2 separate regions of the Mus musculus genome follow, and region 1 is reported to be linked to region 2. Evidence: microRNA targets listed by miRTarBase, many of them from high-throughput screens and not tested one by one. Region 2 holds a microRNA gene; the other region holds the end of a gene's coding sequence.

Region 1 (5,369 bases), not on the chromosome of region 2:
CTGTATGCCCTGGAGGAGGGGATAGTCCGCTACACGAAAGATGTCTACGTGCCCAATCCCAAAAACACGGAGGCTGTGGATCTGGTCACTAGTCTGCCCAAGGGTGCTGTGCTCTACAAGACTTTTGTCCACGTGGTTCCTGCCAAACCTGAGGGAACCTTCAAACTAGTGGACATGCTTTGAAGTCCTGTTGAGACCATTGGATGGAGCCTGGAGCCCAGGTCACAGGAACAGTGATGATGGAAGTCAAGGGTCTGGGTGAGAACAAAATCTCCACAGAAGAGGCTGGAGAGATGGCTCAGCAGTTAAGAGCACTGACTGCTCTTCCAGAGGTCCTGAGTTCAATTCCCAACAACCACATGGTGGCTCACAACCATCTATAATCTCTTCTTGTGTGTCTGAAGACAGCAACAATGTATGCGTATAAACAAAATAAATAAATATTTTAAAAAAGAGAGATGGAAAGGGACAGGACAGGTGGCTGCTTCCTGAGGGGTAGGCAAGCAACCGTTGGATAGAAGTGCAGCAGTGTCCTTGAGGGCTCATAGCTTGGTGGCAGTTGAAGGAATTAGAAGGCAAAGGTTTTAGCCCTCTCCCCATCCCCATGTACACATACCCTTCACACTGCTCTTCAGGGTCACCCATTGCCGGTCCCTCGAAGGCTTTCCTGGTCTGGGGTCTATCCACAGAGGCAAAAGTACCTAAGGGCTTTGTAGCCTTTTCCTTGTCCTGCCCAAGGGCACTAACAGACACCATATAAGAGTTATATGGGGTTGCCAGGCGTGGTGGCGCACGCTTTTAATCCCAGCACTCGGGAGGCAGAGGCAGGCGGATTTCTGAGTTCGAGGCCAGCCTGGTCTACAAAGTGAGTTCCAGGACAGCCAGGGCTACACAGAGAAACCCTGTCTCGAAAAAAAACAAAACAAAAACAAAAAAAGTTATATGGGAAAAGCTGAGTTCTGCAGGGCACCCAAGGCTTAGAGGGCCCCACACTCTACACAGCACTACACAGTCAGCTGGGGAAATCTGCCCCAGTGGTTTTGTCCAACAGTTGGGCACACAAGCCTACTGCCACAGGGTTTACTGGTGGGTCCTGGGCAGCCTCATACAGGCTACCTCTCTGGGGACACCGTTATGACCAAGAAAAGCAGAGCAAGGAAGTCTTGCACCACTGCTACCCAGCTTCCTTTGCTCCTACTGATGGGTCTGTGGCCCAACCTACCTTGCTCCTGCTTCTACAAGCTTCTGACATCTCTCCCTCCACTGCCTTCTAGCCACATCAGACCCCTTGCCTGGCTGCAGGATGCTAACACATACTTCATCCCCCACTTAGAGACAGCAGTGCAAGGATCCTCATTTACATGTCTGCTCATTTCCCTGGATGAACCTGTGTAGGTGGCCCATTGGTCGAGATAGGGAGGAGCTCAGTCTTAGGATCCAATGCAAGCCTGGGATACAGGCTTAGCCTCTAGGGGAGCAGAGTCCTATCACTTCACCCCAGTACCCATCTGCTCACTCCTGTTTCTTCTAACAGCCCTCAGCATGTCTGGGAAGCACTTAGGTGAGGAAGAGAGTGTGTTCCTTTCTGGCCATTGGCTCCATCTGCTCCCCACAGCTCTGATGGCCTTTGGACGGTCAGTCTGAACAGCATTTTCTGTCCTCACCCTCCATCCTCTGTCTGGTGCTCAGAGTTGGGAGTTGAGAGTCTAGGGCTGCAGCTCAACTTTATTTTTGCTTCCTGCATATCTGCTGTGTGATGCCCTGTCCCTGTCCCTCAGGAGAGGCCTAGCAGTGCTGGAGTTGCCCCCTCCAGTCCATAGAAACCTGCTCTGGCTTTCCTCCCTGGGGCTGGAGAGCTAGGAAGAGACCTTTGTCTTCAAGGAGGGTTCTCCAGCAGTTTGTTTACCAATGTAAGGGAGGGGCCTGGCCAGGATGCTGCAAACATTTCCTACTGCAGCTCTGAGCTAGAGGGAACCTGGGCTATCTCAAAGGCCCCTTCCCTAAGGAACAGTTGCTTCTGTTAGGCCAGAAGATGGGGCCGTTTGGTCAGCACCTATGAACAAAAAACCAAGAGCAGCTGTAGCCCAATGCTGGGAGCCAGAGACAGGCTCCCTGAGGTTTTCAGGCTGGTCAGCCCAGCTAAAAGACTCCAAGCTGTAGCTTCAATAAGAGATCTGGTCTCAAAGGATAAGGCAGAAACTGATAGAGTGGGATCCTGGCATTGTCCTCTGGCCTCTGCATGTGTGCACATTGGTGTGTGCACTCCCCCAGCACATACATTAAGTGTGTACATTAAAAAACAAAACCCGGGGCTGGTGAGATGGCTCAGTGGGTAAGAGCACCCGACTGCTCTTCTGAAGGTCCGGAGTTCAAATCCCAGCAACCACATGGTGGCTCACAACCATCTGTAATGTGATCTGACTCCCTCTTCTGGAGTGTCTGAAGACAGCTACAGTGTACTTACATAAAATAAATAAATAAATAAATCTGTTTGTTTAAAAAAAACAAAAAAAAAAAAAACAAAACCCAGTACTCAGAACTACTGTGCTGTGGGCTGCTTAAGTGGGCCCGGGTGTGGCCGCTACAATGCAGTCTCCGATGCAGTCTATCATGGTTTACCGCCTGTAGCTCATCTGCTGAATCCAGCTGGTAAGTTTCTGTACCTGACATAAGAGTTGATATTGGTAAATTAAAACAAAGCGCCAGTGGTGGCACACGCCTTTAATCCCAGCACTTGGGGGGGGGCAGAGGCAGATAGAGCTCTAAGTTCGAGGTCAACCTGGTCTACAGAGCGAGTTCCAGGACAGCCAGGGCTACACAGAGAAACCGTGTCTCAAACAAAACAACAAAAACAAAAAACCCACCACCACCACCACCACCACCAAAAAACCTACCAGAACAAATAAATAAGAAGGGGGTTGGGGGGGAGGAGCCACCCACCCTAACCACCTGGAGAGCTAGCATCAAATGTTCATTAAAGTGGGTGACAGAAAGCAAGCATCTTCTCTGGACAAAACACCTTGTGTGCTCCTTCCCTTAGCACTTCCTGACTGGCCAGCCACACCCTGTGAGAACTGCAGAGTGCAGCTACAGAATGGCCCTGGAGGCCTCCACCCCTTCCGAAGAGCATCAGGGGCTCTGACCCTAGGGCTCATTTTCCAGCTCTCAGTCGGGACTTGCTACCTGAAGACTGGCAGTCCCAACCTGCAAAACCACCCACCCTAGTGCTGTTTGTTGGTGGTCAGGAGCGCCCTCCTGGCAACTGGGAGATCGCTACACCTCGCGCAGCCATCAGCTAACGTACTGTACTCCCTGAGCTAAACTGAGCCTTGCCCAGTGTGGCAGCTGATGACATGATCTTAGAGGTCCAGAAACCTCCATCCCTACTCCCACATTATGTGAGGCATGAAGAACTAATGCTGAGCCCTTCCTTACAACAAGAAGAGAATCAGATGGGAAGGCAGCAGGAACTTAGGCACCATTCACTCAGGTCCTAGGGCCATAAAGGGAAGCCTACAGAACTAACCAGTAGGCCATAACCACAAGAGCCTCTCCTGAGCAGGCTACAAAGGCAAGACTTAGGTAGCGAGAAAGATGTATGTAGCCTTGGGGAGGGGCCTCGGTGATGCCGAAGGCCCCTAAGCTATCATTTACTGCAGTCTGGCCCAGTGGCAGCAGTGGAGGGCCAGGTGGGGCTTTTTAGACCCACAGCTAATGCTGGCCTGCTGGGTAGCAACGAGGATTTTAAGCCTCCCAGGCCCCATTTTCCCTGCAGAAAGAAGCCTCCACTGCAAAGCTGTCTGGCTTCTGGTTGGATTTTTCAACAGTTCCTGCTACAGGGACTGTTACTATTTCAAGCCTATCAGAACTTCTAGAAATCCAGGGGTCAGCCACCGCTCCCTCACCTACAGTGGAAAACACGAGCCCTCAGTTTGCCACCTGGTTTGTCAACTTGATACAAGCCGGGATCATCTGGGAAGGTACCTCAGTGGAGAAAATGCCTCCATTAACGACTGTTGTGGGAGGGTCCCACAACATGAGCCCGGGGAGCAAGCCAAAAAGCATTAGCTATGGCCTGTGTTTAGTGCCTCCCGAGTCCCTGCCCTGGCTTCTCCTTATGATGGACTATAGGCTGTAAGACGAAGCAAACCCTTCCGTGCACGTGCCTTTGGTCATGGTCTTTGTCATAGCAGCAGGAAGCAAACAAGGACATTGAGCTTGGAGAGATAGAGATATATTTCCTCTGTTGCATATTTCAGACTTCGCACTGAGCTTCAGGCACAACTCGACTCTTGTGAGAGCTCTGACAGACAGCCTTCCTGTGCCGCCAGTGGGCTTCCTCCTCCAGTAGGGAAACTTCATGGATCTCAGCAGGCCCTGATGGCGCGCATTTCCTAGGGAAGCCCGAGAGCCGGCCCCAGCTCTGCTCTAGGGCTCCCTGGCTCCCAGAGGAGAGGCCTGCTCACTAAAGTCCAACTCCACAGTAGCCCCCACAGATCACCTGTCCTCCGGGCCTCAGAGCCTCAGCAGTGCGCAGTTCAGATGCAGGCTGGGGATGGAGGCTCTGGAGAGGGAGGCAGCCCATGCCTCCCCAGAGCAGAAACCGATATGCTCTGTGGTGCTCCCCATGGCCATGGCCCATATCCTGGGGCTGCTCTGAGCCCTATTGCACATCGTCCTCCCTCTGCCACTCATTTTAATTATTAAAAAAGTATAAACTAACGAGGAGCAGAGGAAGATCCTCCTCATGGCTCCAGTGGACCGCTGGTCTCTTGCAGGGCCGTTAGCAGTAGGGAGTACTGCACCCACCTTCCCTGCCCTCAGTGTAGGTTCCTGTTGGCTCAAATGGGCAAACTGCCTGGGCCTCTGGTTCTTGTCTGTGGGAGAGATGTCCCTCCGTTGTCTGTAAGGTGCAATTCCCCGGCTCCTCCGGGTTGTGCTGGCTGGGGTCCTGCTACCTGAGTCGCCCGTCAGCTTTGACAGGCCCCAGCTCTGACTTGGGGTCAGGAGACAGAGAGCTCCAGCTGGTCAGTCTGCAGAGCTCCAGGGAGGGACAAGCAGAAGGTCCTATGGCACACAATCCTGCCACAGACCAGAAATTGCTCAGTTCCCCATCTGTCCAGGCCTCAAGTGCAGAACCCGTGAGCTCTGTGTGCCTCCGGGCAGCCTCCTCCAGGGCCTCTGCCTGAGGCAGATTCAGGATGCCACTTAGGCCCTGGAAACTCTGCTCCATGTATTCGTTGTGGGGTGGTCCCGCATGCAGCCAGCTGGCATCATCTGGGGGTACAGAACAAGCAGTTAAGCAGGTCCCGCGGTCCCATGGGGACCAGTAGTCCCGCAGTCCCATGGGAGTCAGGGCTGAACACAGT
Region 2 (5,371 bases):
AGCCTGGCTGTAAATCCCAGTGTCTACCTTGTAAAGTGCACTACTACGGCTGGATAAGCAGGTAGAAGATTCCCACGTTATGAGGACATACACCATTGACCGCTGTGAACACTGGGTACATAGTAGGGCACAGAGCCACCCATGGACAAGTAGGAGAGATCACAGAGAGACTCACTGAGCTTCCATAGGCCCCCAGGAGCTCAACCCTGCCAGTTCCTGTTTGCTCACTTCCCCAAGTCCTAGCCATATTCTTGCTGGTCAGGGGGAACTCAGAACACAGCAGTTAGCAATCATGGCGCCCAAAGAACAAGGGCTTTGCTGTGCTGAGCTCAACAGGTGGGCTCGAGATCGGCTCTGATTAAGGCAGTGAGCCCCTTGAGGAGGACTCTGGGACAGTTTCACGTTAACCACATACAGGGACAGTGTTGGCATCTGCTACTGGGTTAAGAGTCTCTACTTATTTACACCGCACGTAGCTCTGGTCCCTCTCGCGCCGTCTTTGGCACAGCCGTCCATTCAGAAATTTTGGTAGTATGCACAGGGTTTTCTTCAAAATAAAATCTTTAAGAGGATGTGAAGGCAGGAAGCAGCGGCTCATCTCGGGATGATTATCCTTTCTATGGCACACAAGATATGGTCCCAGTTTTTACAGAATATGGCGAGAAGAGTCACAGCAAAGAAGGTGCCAAGGATGTGGGAGCGGCTCTTCATCATGGGCGAGACAAACTTGGCCAGGGTGGACACACACACCAGGATGACCGTCATGAAGGCCAGAACCACGTTGATGCACTTCCCCAGCAGGACCTTGGCGTTCACGGCATCCGTCTGCAGGGTCTGCTGTTCCTGCTGATGCAGCTCGAGCTTAGAGATGCGGGTCTGGCAAGATTCCAAGGCTTCCTGCGGGCGAGAGGAGAGCAAGGGTCAGACGTAGCTGGAATCACAGGCCTTGCGGGAACACGTGCCCAGATGTGCCCCAAGCTCCAGCTCAGAGCATCTACTGCCTCAGCAGATTCAAATCCCCAAACCAACGGTGAGAGAGGAAGTCATAAGGCAGGAATCCCAAGACTCCTACATGTATTCAACCATAAAACACCATAAGGGAGGAGTTACGGTGGTCTACTTTTGTTTATTTGTTTACTGTTTTTGTTTGTTTTTTTGGCGACAAGGTCTCTTGTGAAGTAGCCCAATCTGGCCTTAAACTTCCAATTCTCCTACCTCAACCTTCCCAAGTGCTGAGATTTGGGGTCACAGTCAAATAGCATCATACCCGGTCATAAGGGCTCATTTCTCAATGTATTTGTACTTGAGAAGAGGTGACATGAAACACCGGTGTCTGCTGGCCCTGTCAGGAGGGGACTGAAAAGGGGCGGAGCTGGATCTGTGTTCTGGGATGCAGGCTGCTCAACCCTTATCCATGGTATCTGCTCTTTCCCTCTGCCACTCCACCGCTGGGAGCTTGTGTCTGTGGAGTGACTGTAGGGAGGATGCAGATGCTAAGGGGAACGACTGGACCAACAGCAGGCCGCTCTGCTTCAATCAGCCTTGTGAATCTATTCCTTAAGTCAGCAGCAGCCCAAGCTGTCTCTCCAGGCCCAGTGCAACCTGATGCTTCACTTCCTAAAGCGACATCACATGGGTGACTCGGAGTAGATTACCCAGCCTGGCTATTTCCTCGGAGGCTGACTTGCACATCTACAGAGCTTTTGGAAAACGCCCCTGTGCAGCTCAGTCACGAGTATGTTTATGGAGTGTACCTTGCCCTGCAAGCAGTGACCCTGTGTCCTCACACCCCCAACTCTTTCTCTTAGAACACCACTTAGGCCTCTTATGACAGAAACCCCAAAGCATCCTTTGACATGTCTCTTGTCCAGCCATCAGCTGGCTCTGCCGATGCAGCCGGCACTGTCCATCTTAATCAATATTAACCTCTCTTGCAGTCCCCACTCACTAGGGATCGCCGGGACCTCTTGCTTGCTGTGATTTGAATTTCACATGGTGTGTTCCATAATCCATATTCCCTGCCACAGTCCATGTGACTTTTGAAAGATATACATTTCTGACATCCCTCTTCATAAAAGACCTTTCGGAATCTTGCTTGGTCTGTGTGCAGCCATCTTATCCTGCCTTCATCCACTGCTCTGCCCAAACTGACCCTTTCCAGGTTCCAAAAAATGCCTGGGGGACTTTGTGCAGTACCCACTGCCGGAAACTCTTAAGCACCCCTCTCTTCACCAGTGGATCTGCCACACGTCTGAGGTCTCATCCTTACAGACATTCCCCGAAGGAAGCCCTCCCTGACCCATCTTGTCTCTAGTCAGCCTTCCTGCACAGCTGAGAGGCGCCTAAGTTGCATGCGGTCAGGCACGAGGCTCATCCAGCCCTCATTGTCCACTTCAGAACAGCAGTGCTGCACGCAGCAGGTGGCTGGAGAGCCAGGGTGCCAGTAACAGGAATGTCAGCTCGAAGAGGAAGAGCCCACGCCTCCTGGGAGGCAGTGCGACGTGCCTGCTCCTCCACCAGTCTGTTGTGGCAATCATTTGCCAATGTGCTTGTGCAGCTGCGTGCGGTCACCTTTCCAGGCTTTAAGCGGGTGTAATGGCTCCAACATTGATTTGCTTCTCTCCCGCTGAATATACTCGCTTGGCTAAAGAACAGGGTTCTCTGTTACTATAGCAACTTTCATTATACTAGGCTGCCGACCAAAGGATAAAACTTTCTCAGATCTTCACATTTAAGCGCTGCTGGCTGCCGGCACTAACAGGCAAGTGCAGAAGGGCGGGCTGGCTTTCAGCTATGGGGCCCGGGATTTTTTTTTCCCCTTTCCGTTTTAGATATGGCGTGAAAAGGGTGACAGATCAAGACAAAGGACTGTCATGTTTGGCCCTTTCACTCAGTTTTAGGGTAGAGAGGTCCACATCTCCTTAGGCTCATCTTAGAATTCACATTAGAACTGCTACCGATGTCTTACTCAAAGAAAAATCTAAGAAAATCAGGTAGTGAATTGTTAAGGCATTTCGCCCATGACATGGAGAGATTTTGCCCCATGATAATTAGGATTTCTTTGGTTGAGTGTTTAACTTGTTTTATATGAACATAGAGGGCGGGGTTATCTTTAGTAGTTTAAACTGGATATTCAGGATTTTAAAGAGGATGAGGGGGATCGGTCACTTAACAGCAAAAACTGTGGGTCTGTGGGCCCTTGCTACGTGCAGCATGCCAGCCTATCCCATTGGAAGCTCACTTCCCAGAACCACAGACATGGGGACCAGAGAGATCAATGGCTAAGAGCCTTGAGGAATGTTGCTATTTAACAATAAGATAAAAGGGACCCCGGCATTAACTTCTTGGCTGTTTATTATGAGTCTGGCGAAGAAGACCCTGGTACAACAAATATCTGATTCTATTTGATCTGCTTGACTGTTTGAAGACGAGGAGTCGGAGGCGCTCAGCACTGACTTAGCCAGGTTCACACAGAGACAGAGTGGTAGAGCCAGCTTTGAACCTCCGTGACCTCTGTCATTGACAGAGCTGCTCTTCATAGCTCTGACTAGAGGTGCAGCTGAAGAAAAACCGTGGAAATGAACTCCTCAGAAGTTCAAGTTCCTTTTGTGGGGGCCCTCCCTTGATCTGACCTCCTTGCTCCCAGAATATGTTTCTTAAAGAGCAGAGAACAATGTTAATCTAAACCATCCCCTAAAAGAGGAAACAGTGTGTTTAGACACCACCCGGTGATATCCTAGACCTGTTCTAAGATAGGACGGCCAAGGGCAGGTGGGATGGCTCAGTGGGTAAAGCACTTGCTGCCAAGTCTGGATTTTGATTCCTGGGACCCACAAGGTAGAAAGAAGGGACATGACTCCTGTTCTCCAGTCATCATGTGTGACATGATGCTGTGACATGCATGCGTGTTCGCGCATGCACACACACACACACACACACACACACACACACGTAAGTATAATAAAAAATGTTCTATATAGAATCACTTAACAGATGAGAGTTCTGTCTCCCAGGTCAGTCAGTGGAGACTCTGAGGCTCCTCACCCAGGGAACAGAGAGTAGTTTCCCAGTGTCCTCTGCTCTCTGGGGACAATGTTTCCCATCAGTGCTAAAGCCCTGCTTCCCAGAACTGTCTGAATAGACCTCTGGCATCAGCAAACCCAGACTCCACCGGTGCAGAACAAAATGCTTGCAGCGGAACTGCAGCATGCGCCCCAGGGAGAAAGTGCTCTGATGCTTCAGCCTACTGCCTTGTAAAGTGGGGTTCAGGGCGTGGATAGCCTTTCTTAAGCTCAGAAAGTTCCCACCGACTACAGAGAAGATATGAAAAAGGGCATTACTGATTTTGGTTATTGTTATGATTTCTTTCAAAAGGTGACCAAGAAGCCTAGGGCTCTTCCATAGCAGCCTGGGGACCTCAGGAGCAAGTTCAGCACTGGCTTTTGTTTGTGACATAACTGTTACATGGATCTACACATCTGTTCCTGCTAACCTTCTGGGCCTTGCCTTTCCCTTTCAGTTCCGCCTTCTTAGTCACTCCTAAGGGACAATTTGCAAGGCCTTGTACAGGTCACTTCACCTTTTTGTACCTCAGTCTCCAGATCTGAGAAACAGGACCAACAATAAGAGCGATTACAAAGGGCTATTGAGTAAGTACCAAGTACAGTGGTTTAGTAGGGGCTGGCAGTCATGCTCGGCGATTTCACAGATACGAAGCAATTGCTTTATAGATAAGCAGACTCAAGGCTTGCTCAGAGCCAAACAGTTGGTAAATAATAGACTCGAAACCAAAATTTACCAGGAAATGTCCGAGTGCTAGCCCCTGCTCCCTGCTCCTATCCCGGCCAGCAAGCATAGCTGGACTGGATTTCTGGGGCACTGTAGCGTCCTTGCTAGAGCCATCTGGTATACCGTTAGACTACTCCAGCCTCTGCAAGAAGCTTCCTGAAGGCAGGCTGCCTAACAGGTGACGTTTCTTAATGTTTTGGAGTTTTTGAAATTAGGTTAGTGGTATAGCCACTAGTTAGGCAACCGGGTAACAGAGGGAACATAAGCCAACAGGGCCAAGGGGTGGATGGGAAATATCTATGTAGAGAGAATGAACATCTTGCCCCTCATGACGGAATGCTTGGGGAAGTGTACTGGGTTAGGCTGTTGAATGAATTAAAGCCTGGAAAAATCCTACACCGGGGTCTGCCCAGGAGGGGACCCATACCTGGATGTCCCTTGAGCGCTCATAGGCCTGGTAGGCCACCTTCTCCTCAGCGCTGGCCAATTCCTGCTTCAGATTGGCTGTCTCATGCTGGTGCAGCTCTGTCAGGTCATGGAGCTGGTCTTCAAGTCGCTCATACCTTAACAAAGACAGGAGCCT

Evidence for each region. Region 2 holds the annotated microRNA mmu-miR-7211-5p (UCUUUCCCUCUGCCACUCCACC, at 1,426-1,447, shown strand). A microRNA usually pairs through its seed, bases 2 to 8, with sites in the 3' UTR of a target mRNA and lowers its output. Matches are read on the target gene's strand: a 7mer-m8 pairs with bases 2 to 8, a 7mer-A1 pairs with bases 2 to 7 and ends in A, and an 8mer does both.
Region 1: miRTarBase lists Xylt2 as a target of mmu-miR-7211-5p. The part of its 3' UTR that is shown has no 7-base or 8-base seed match.

What each region holds. Positions count from the first base shown.
Region 1 is chr11:94,659,633-94,665,001 of GRCm38, forward strand. It overlaps Xylt2 (xylosyltransferase II), which reads right to left. Exons shown (of 11, transcript NM_145828.3): 11 at 4,215-5,277. The coding sequence ends at 4,955. It overlaps Mrpl27 (mitochondrial ribosomal protein L27), which reads left to right. Exons shown (of 4, transcript NM_053161.2): 4 at 1-455. The coding sequence ends at 183. Among named protein-coding and RNA genes, the nearest start is that of Mrpl27, 8.5 kb to the left of the region's middle.
Region 2 is chr10:94,582,254-94,587,624 of GRCm38, reverse strand. It overlaps Mir7211 (microRNA 7211), which reads left to right and starts at 1,426; the gene lies at 1,426-1,488. It overlaps Tmcc3 (transmembrane and coiled coil domains 3), which reads right to left. Exons shown (of 4, transcript NM_172051.3): 3 at 5,216-5,351; 4 at 1-897. The coding sequence ends at 595.